Linked DNA regions of Sus scrofa. The protein of the gene in region 2 interacts with the protein of the main gene of each other region in a pairwise test. Links are inferred from orthologs where the notes say so. Each region holds a gene or a part of one and is shown on either strand. Other genes may lie near its edges.

Evidence for each region. The genes of interacting proteins can lie anywhere in the genome.
Region 1: the proteins of NUDT21 (region 2) and RPLP1 interact in a two-hybrid assay, tested with the Homo sapiens proteins (2 studies listed by BioGRID and IntAct). The link is inferred for Sus scrofa from reciprocal best matches to the Homo sapiens genes NUDT21 and RPLP1.

What each region holds. Positions count from the first base shown.
Region 1 is NC_010443.5:167,294,928-167,298,815, forward strand, and holds RPLP1 (60S acidic ribosomal protein P1), read left to right. Parts: upstream 1-1,156; 5' UTR 1,157-1,298; coding exon 1,299-1,370; intron 1,371-2,097; coding exon 2,098-2,172; intron 2,173-2,873; coding exon 2,874-2,991; intron 2,992-3,214; coding exon 3,215-3,294; 3' UTR 3,295-3,337; downstream 3,338-3,888. UniProt on the Homo sapiens protein: Plays an important role in the elongation step of protein synthesis.
Region 2 is NC_010448.4:29,338,374-29,342,720, reverse strand, and holds the start of NUDT21 (cleavage and polyadenylation specificity factor subunit 5), read right to left. Parts: upstream 2,829-4,347; 5' UTR 2,717-2,828; coding exon 2,601-2,716; intron 1-2,600. Other genes in the region: prolyl 3-hydroxylase OGFOD1, read left to right, coding at 3,122-3,275. UniProt on the Homo sapiens protein: Component of the cleavage factor Im (CFIm) complex that functions as an activator of the pre-mRNA 3'-end cleavage and polyadenylation processing required for the maturation of pre-mRNA into functional mRNAs.

The DNA of each region.
Region 1 (3,888 bases), on a different chromosome or scaffold from region 2:
TCTTCCAGTTATAAAATAAATAAGGCATGAGAATGCAATGTATAGCATGAGTACAGTTAATAATACTGTATCATATTTAAAAGTTGATAAGAGAGTAGACCTTAAGAGTCCTATTCGAAGAAAAAATTTTTTTTAATCTAAGTATGGTAATGGATGTTAACAGGACTTGGTGATCACTTTACAATATAAACAATATCAATTAATGTTGTACACCTGAAACTGTCAATTATACCTCAATTTAAAAAATTTTAAAGCATACCTCTCCGTATGAACCCAACACCAGTTTTATTAGCTTCAAAAGACACAAAACGGCAATACAGCACCTAGCCAGAGAGGAGTTAACTCAAGAAATTTTTTAACATCGCAGCTGCAGTTTCAAGGCATTTCCACCCAATCATGGGGTCCCTTAGTCACAAAAAATAAAGTTGAAGTGGAAAGTTCCCCTATATTCCTAATATACCTTTTATGCTTTGGAAGAAAAAACAAAGAAAATTTACTCATAATCCCCAAACCCATTCCTCTCTGCACGCACAAGTAGAAAGCACTGAAGTTAGGTTCCCAGATTCCAAATTCAGGTTCGCAGTAACTGCGGAATCTTAGGTGTTACCAGCCTACACCTTAGTTTTGCCAGTTGCAAAATGGAGATAATAGTACTTACCTTTTATGCTGTGTGAGGATTAAATGAATTCTGGTAGAGTGTGGTTCGGTGCTTGGAACATAGTAGGCGCTCAAATGCTACGGCAACGTTGCAGGTTTCTCATTTTCGAGTACATTCCCTTAGTATCTTATCCGAGACTGCGCTAAGCCCCAGAACCTCCAGGCTAAAACCTAGCTCCCGCCTTCAGCTGGACACTGCCGGCTGGTGGGGACGCTGGCGACGGCATTAAATGACTGCTTAAGTAGCAGAAAGGATTAATGCCTATTAACCTAGCTTTCTCCTAAAAGTATTTCTACTGTCCCCAAATCCTGAGTTTTTACCGAAACCCAGCGAGTTAGCATCTTCAGCTGCCTAGCAACTTTCTGAACTTGCAAATGAGCGACTTATGTTTTTGCGCAGGCGTTTTGGGTGAATTGTAGCGGGAGGTCCTAGCACCGCCTCTTCCGGCAGGCGCGGGCGCCGATTGGTCCTCGTGACCAGTATAAGAGGCTGCGCGCAGGCGCGAGGAATCCCTTTCCTCAGCTGCCGCTAAGGTGCTCGGTTCTTCCGAGGAAGCTAAGGCCGCGTTGGGGTGAGGCCCTCACTTCATCCGGCGACTAGCACCGCGCCTGGCAGCCCCCACCTAGCATTGGTCCGCACCATGGCTTCCGTCTCGGAGCTCGCCTGCATCTACTCTGCCCTCATTCTGCACGACGATGAGGTTACGGTCACGGTAAGTGTTGGCCTGGGCTGGCGGCGAGGCGGCCTACGGGTGGCCGGCTCCCCACCCTCGAGGGCGTCGCGGGCAGGCCCTTAGGGCTGGAGCCGCGGCTATCCACACCACGGCACAGGGCCGGAGGGATCGGGCGCACGTGCCGGGCGGCCTGGGTCTCGGCCATGTGCAGGCCCGGGAGGGAGTGGATTTCACTTTCGGCGTCGCGCTCTGGCTTTGAGAACCTTTATTTGGAGAAACTTGTGCAGCGCGTCGGCAGGCTCATCTGTAGCTTGTTATATCCCAGGACTTTTTATACCTCTTCTTGGTGTGATTGCTTTGCCTGTGGTTCTGTTAGTAGGCCTTGTGGGGCTTGGCCGCGTGGTGTGGAGGGGAGCACTCGAGCCCTGCTCCACTTCTGGCCTTGCCTCGCGACTTAAAATAGCTGCGTGACTTGAGCAAGACCCAGCCTGGGAAATGGCAGGGATGGACTCGCCGCCTAGTAAAGTATCTGGCATACAGGAACAGAGGCTTTTTTCTTTCTTTTTTTTTTTTCTTAGTGACATTCTTCACAAGAGTGTAAAAAACGGTCGCCTTAAGCCTAGGTGCAGTGCCAGTAGGATATTTGAACTGGTTAAACTGGTTTTGTACCCAGGTTTTGAGTCATTTGCTTTCAATTTGCAGTATTTTGGAGACATGTATGGAAGCTATACATTACTCTGATGGATTGTTATTTTATTTGTTTTAGGAGGATAAGATCAATGCTCTCATTAAAGCAGCAGGTGTAAATGTTGAGCCATTCTGGCCAGGCTTGTTTGCAAAGGTAAGGTGATGGCGGCAGAATGATTTGGAGAAACTAATTTTGGAAGACTTACTGATTTATTAAGTCAGGTATTAATTTAATCTCCAGGAGTGCCAGGAGGCCCCATGTTCCCCTGGACTTGTCCAAGTATAGGCAGTATTTCCTCACATTTCTATCTCTAAGAGCTAATTAAGTTTTTGGTGTCATGTCTTATTTTCTGGTCTCAGACTTCACTTTCTTCTGTTATAAAACCACGATAGAATATGTACTAAGCAGATAATCCCTTCATAAAAGGATCACCCAGGAGATAATAATATTTGTGCTATTCCAAGTAAACTGCCACCATAGAAATTGGTGCGGTGGTCTTTTACTGAATACTTAAAGACTAGTGAGTACAGCATTCCTACCCAAGGAACTTGGAAAGAATTCCTAGTTTGAGTGTTTTAAGGAAGCTTAGGGTGTCTTCCAACTCGTTAAGTATTTTGGGGCCAGTTTTTTCATCTATAAAAGTAAGCAATTCAGTGACTCTTGATTAAAGTATAGCTGTCCTGTCTAAGTAGCAAACAAAATGTCACTGGCAGATTCCAGCAAAGGTGAAGAAAGAGAAATAGGTACAGTGTTGGGATTGATTACTAAGTTCAAAAGGAGTTCCATTTTTCCCTGGTGGGTACTATAAGAAAAGAACAGAACTGAACATTAACCTGTATATGCATGTGTTGCAGGCTCTGGCCAATGTCAACATCGGGAGCCTCATCTGCAATGTGGGGGCTGGTGGACCTGCCCCAGCAGCTGGTGCTGCACCAGCAGGAGGTCCTGCCCCAGCCACCACTGCTGCCCCAGGTAGGAAACTTGTTTCAGGAGGGAGGAGTGTGGAGATTGAGTATTATGGGCAAAATTGTTCTTCATTTGCTAAGAGTAGCTGATATATAGAAATCCTAAATCCAGAGGCATAGTTTGATAAGGGAAGTTAAGGGTATTTTTGACCATGTCAGTTGAAAGGCCTGGAGTTTGAGAGGTAATTGACTTTATATTAATTTTTTATTTTTTATTTTTATTTTTTTAGCTGAGGAGAAGAAAGTAGAAGCAAAGAAAGAAGAATCTGAGGAGTCTGATGATGATATGGGCTTTGGTCTTTTTGACTAAACTTCTATAACATTCGATAATAAAAAGCTGAGCTATTCACTGATGTTGGTCTTGATAATTCTGGGGGTGTTGCTATGTAAAGATAGCCACTGGCTTTGTCTTTTGCCATGGCAGAAACTCTGCAGCATCACAAACTGTATGGGGAGGCAGGAGAAGGTTCAGATTGTCCACATTACCCACATGACTTCATGATTACAGAGTTTATCCTCTATACCTGAATCTGAGTTAGAGTCACTAGACCTCAGATTTAGAGAGCCCCTTGGATAATTTCCAAGTGTGATCCTGGCTAAAAATTTTTGACCTGTGCTGAGCAATATGAATTAGAATATTAATTGTCACATCCCTTGGGTTTAGTTCAACAATACTGAAGGAGTGGGGGAAGTTCAGGTTAAGGTCTCAGTTATACCAAGTGAATGAAGCCAAATTTCAAACCTGTATTTTGAAAAGCTAACAAGTAGAATAGCTTTTGGGGAGGATGTGACAGAACAATGTCAAGTGTAAATTGGTTCACTTTTCAAAGTGCCAGGGACCAACCTAGGACTTGGATTTATAACATCTTGCCCTTACCTCTGTGCATTTATTGATAAGGACATG
Region 2 (4,347 bases):
TTAGAAAGAATTAAAGATAGCTATAACACATCTCTACTGCAAAAGCCAGCTCTCACATCAATGAAGAGATGCCATCAAGATGAAATTTAAGAATTTTCAGAGTTCCCGTCGTGGCGCAGTGGTTAACGAATCTGAACAGAAACCATGAGGTTGTGGTTCGGTCCCTGCCTTGCTCAGTGGGTTAACAATCCAGCGTTGCCGTGAGCTGTGGTGTAGGTTGCAGACGCGGCTCGGATCCGGCATTGCTGTGGCTGTGGTGTAGGCCGGCGGCTACAGCTTCGATTCAACCCCTAGCCTGGGAACCTCCATATGCCGCAGGAGCGGCCCAAGAAATAGCAAAAGAAAAAGAAAAAAAAAAAAAAAAGAAAGAAAGAAATTTAAGAATTTTCAGCTGTGAGTGCCAACCCAAGACACATGTACTATTTCCATCATACTGTGAGCTTGGTAAAGCAGGGACTATACCTAACTTCCTCACCACTATAACCAGCATTATTATGCCCACTGCCTGCTACAAAGTAAGCATTCATGCAGTATTTCATGCAACATTTCCTAATAAAATATACTGGAGAGAAAACTTTTCAATTCAGACCGTTACTCACCCAGATGAACTGAGTTCACAACACACTTCTGACTACTGTGTTTATGTAGGAAAGGAAAAGTACTGCAAATCCATCAATCCCTAACCTTAATGGAGCAAAAATTAAAACATTTCATCAAGTGTCTTCCATATGATGGCCTGATATGAACTGATCCAGCAATCAAAGTAAATCAAGGGAGTTCCCGTTGTGGCGCAGTGGTTAACGAATCCGACTAGGAACCATGAGGTTGAGGGTTCGGTCCCTGCCCTTGCTCAGTGGGTTAACGATCCGGCGTTGCCGTGAGCTGTGGTGTAGGTTGCAGACCCGGCTCGGATCCCGCGTTGCTGTGGCTCTGGCATAGGCCAATGGCTACAGCTCCGATTGGACCCCTAGCCTGGGAACCTCCATATGCCGCAGGAGCGGCCCAAAGAAATGGCAAAAAGACAAAAAAAAAAAAAAAAAAAAAGTAAATCAAGGGTAAACTTTGAGTTCTAGCCTTAATTACCACTGAAAGTAATACAGAGGTTGTGCTTTCATACTTTTTAAAAGAACATTTGCCTTTTCCACTTCATGGGAATAGTATAAGGATTTTTTAAAAATGTGACATGTAATTTAAATGCTATTATTATTTTTGCTTTTTTAGGGCCACACTCGTGGCATATGGAGGTTCCCAGGCTAAGGGTCTAATCAGAGCTACAGCTGCCGGCCTATGCCACAGCAATGCCAGATCAGAGCCACATCTGTGACCTACACCACAGCTCATGGCAACGCCAGATCCTTAACCCACTGAGCAAGGCCAGGGATGGAACCCGAAACCTCATGGTTTCCAGTCGAATTCGTTTCCGTTGTGCCACGATGGGAACTCCTAAATGCTATTACTTTTAACATCTAACACCTACAAAATTAACATGTATATATAACAATCTACAAATTTCAGATTTCATAAACCCAACATTTTTATTATCTAAATTTCCAAGCCGGCACCTATTTACACAAATTAAACAACAATAACCATCTTTTCAATTTCAAATAGCTTTTGAGGAAGGAAAGTTTATTTGAATATAAAACAGAAATAATCTAAAGTGTCCAACCAAAACACCAGTATCAGTAAATCCTTGCACCTTTTAAATACTGACCAGCATAAACTGGCCGTTTTCCTTCATTAGGGTCAGCACCATGGTGCCTCCCAAACTCTCAGAAATGATTTTTTTTTAATATACTGATAATTTCTTGAGCCACAATTCCCTGCCACTGTGAGATTACTTTCCAGAGTGAATTCGAAATGCAATGGCTTGAAGAGCTTAAACAGAAAGATACTGAAAATAAAATGCGGCCCACAACGGGTTCTCTGAAGCTACATTTTAGTCTTCATGGTCTGAAAGTCCAACCACAATGAAAGCCCCAGTACCTTCCCAAGTTGGGTCCTTTTCGGGCGCTTGAATGCTGTTGCTGCGGCAGAAAAGGACATGTGAATGCTTAAGGGCATGAATAAAATGTGGTATATCCAGGAGCTAAACCGCAATAAAGTAAAAGAGGAAAAAAAGGAAATCGCGCGTTATAGCTAGATCTCGAAAGCTTACTATTAGAGTAACGCGAAAAACTGCAAAAACGACGTTACATTACACCACGCATACCAAATAAAACACTCAGAACAATGTCAAATACATGGTGCTGAAGAAAGAAAACCACGGTTTGCGGTTGGTTATCTCCAGAGAGGTGGGGAAAGAACGAGTTCAAGGCAAAAGGCTTTTCTCCTACAATGACTGCAGAGGCACGTGAATAAGCCTTCTTTTCAGAAAAGAGAAAACCCTCTCAGGTAGGACTCAAGTCCCGCGGTGCTGGAGGGCGAGGAAGGAGCCTGTGGGAACTAGAAAGGCGCATCCCGCAGAGCTAGAGTGTGGATAGTGAGGAGGCGCGGAGCCCGCCGGGGGCGCGCCGGAAGGAGAAAATTGAAGCCTCCAGGAGAGCTCACGAGGAAGGTGATGCCGACCAGGCAGCGTGCTAGGGCCATGCCACACTTACAGGTTGATGGTGCGCTCCAGGGTGAGGGGCTTGGTCTGCTGGATGTACTTGTTGCCATACTGGTTGACCCCCCGGGGCCAGCCGGTCTGCGAGCGATTGGGCGGCACCACAGACATGCTAGCGAGCTCCCGGTACTAGCAGCGAGCGGAAAGAGGGAGGCAGGGAGACTTTTCCTGTGCGGGCAGCGGTCCTCAGCGTCCCACTCAGCAGCCGCCGCCCGCCATTAACAAGCGAGCACAAGAGGAGGCGTACGTACGCCGGAAGTGAACCCGAAGCATCTGGCGGCAGGAAGTAGAGAGGCGGTGGCCTGCCCGACCGAGCACCACTGAGCCAATCGCTGGTGGGATGGCCGCAATATCTGGCGCTCCTATTGGTAAACCAGCTATGGGTTCCGCCTCCTCTTTCTTTGGTACTTCCTATTGGATAGCCCTGGGAACCACGGAAAGTCGGCATTCTGGAAGGTCTCTGTAGGAAAATAATTGCTTGATCAGTGTGGCGTGGGTCTTGTACATTGCGAAGAGATGAATGGGAAACGGTCGACTGAGCTTGGCCCTGGTCGGGCGGGAAAAAAAGTAAAGAAGGAGGTGATGGCGAATATTTCGGATGCTGTCACGGAGGAAACCTTGAAAAAGCAGGTGGCTGAGGCCTGGAGTCGTAGGACGCCGTTCCGTCACGGTAAGCGAGATCTGAAGGGGGAGGCGCAGCGCAGGCTTGGGGCCTCTGAAAAAGTCCTGGCACCCGAGCTAAGTGCTGAGCAGCGGGACTACAAGGGAAGAGGCTTTTGGAGAGAGTGTGACTTTGGCCACCTCCGACTCCTTCCTAGCCTGCTGTTCCCTTTCAGTCCAAGTTCAGTTTGGATTTAGAAACTTAGGAGAGGAAGAAATGTAGGCCAGGCAGTTTCCGGGAAGTAGAGGGCATGCAAGTTCATAGAAATTCTGAAATTTGGGATTACTGAGTTACACTCTTCCCCATTGACTGCGCGTAGCTGGGCAATGGGTTCAGCTCCTTCCTGTGTAAAGTAAGATAACTAATATTCATTACCTCGAAAAGATGTTGAATGAGATTAATAAACTAATATATGTATGTATCAATATATATTTTCCTGAATAAGGACCAATAAACATTTGGACACACACTTAAGTGGCTTTTGCGGTTTTTATTCCAAGGGTACTGCTGGTTTGTCCAGTGGTAGCGTAGCCAGAGCATTTATTGGGAGCTGCCAGATGGCTGGCACCTGAGCTTAATTTTACTGGCCTGTAGTTCAACATGACCATGAAAGTAAACATGTTTTGACCAAAGGAAGGAACCTGCATCGAACGATTCCAGCCTCAGCTTCAGCCATGTAGGATAAGAATTCTGCATAATGCATCATGCTTTCCCTTCGAAAGCTTGCCATGTTTTTTGCTTCAATGGTTAAATGCTTTAAAGAGGTGAGTCCCAGGTGTCCGGATGCACATAGAAAGTGACAGCTTAGTGTTCAAAGTGTGAGCTCTGTACACTCAGCAGACTTTTCACTTTCCTTACATGGGGGAAAAAGATAGTGATGATGTCTACCTTAGGACTGTTGAAACAATTAAATGAGATAATGCATGTAAAGCCCCACTGTACCTGGAACCTGGTGGGTTGTGGTGGGTTTTTAGAAGGTTACTCAATCTCTCCTACCAGAGACAATGGGTAAAGGGTTGAGGTAAAACTCAAGGAGTTAGGGGAGGTTATGCCTGACCTAATTTAAAAAAAAGTGTATTCT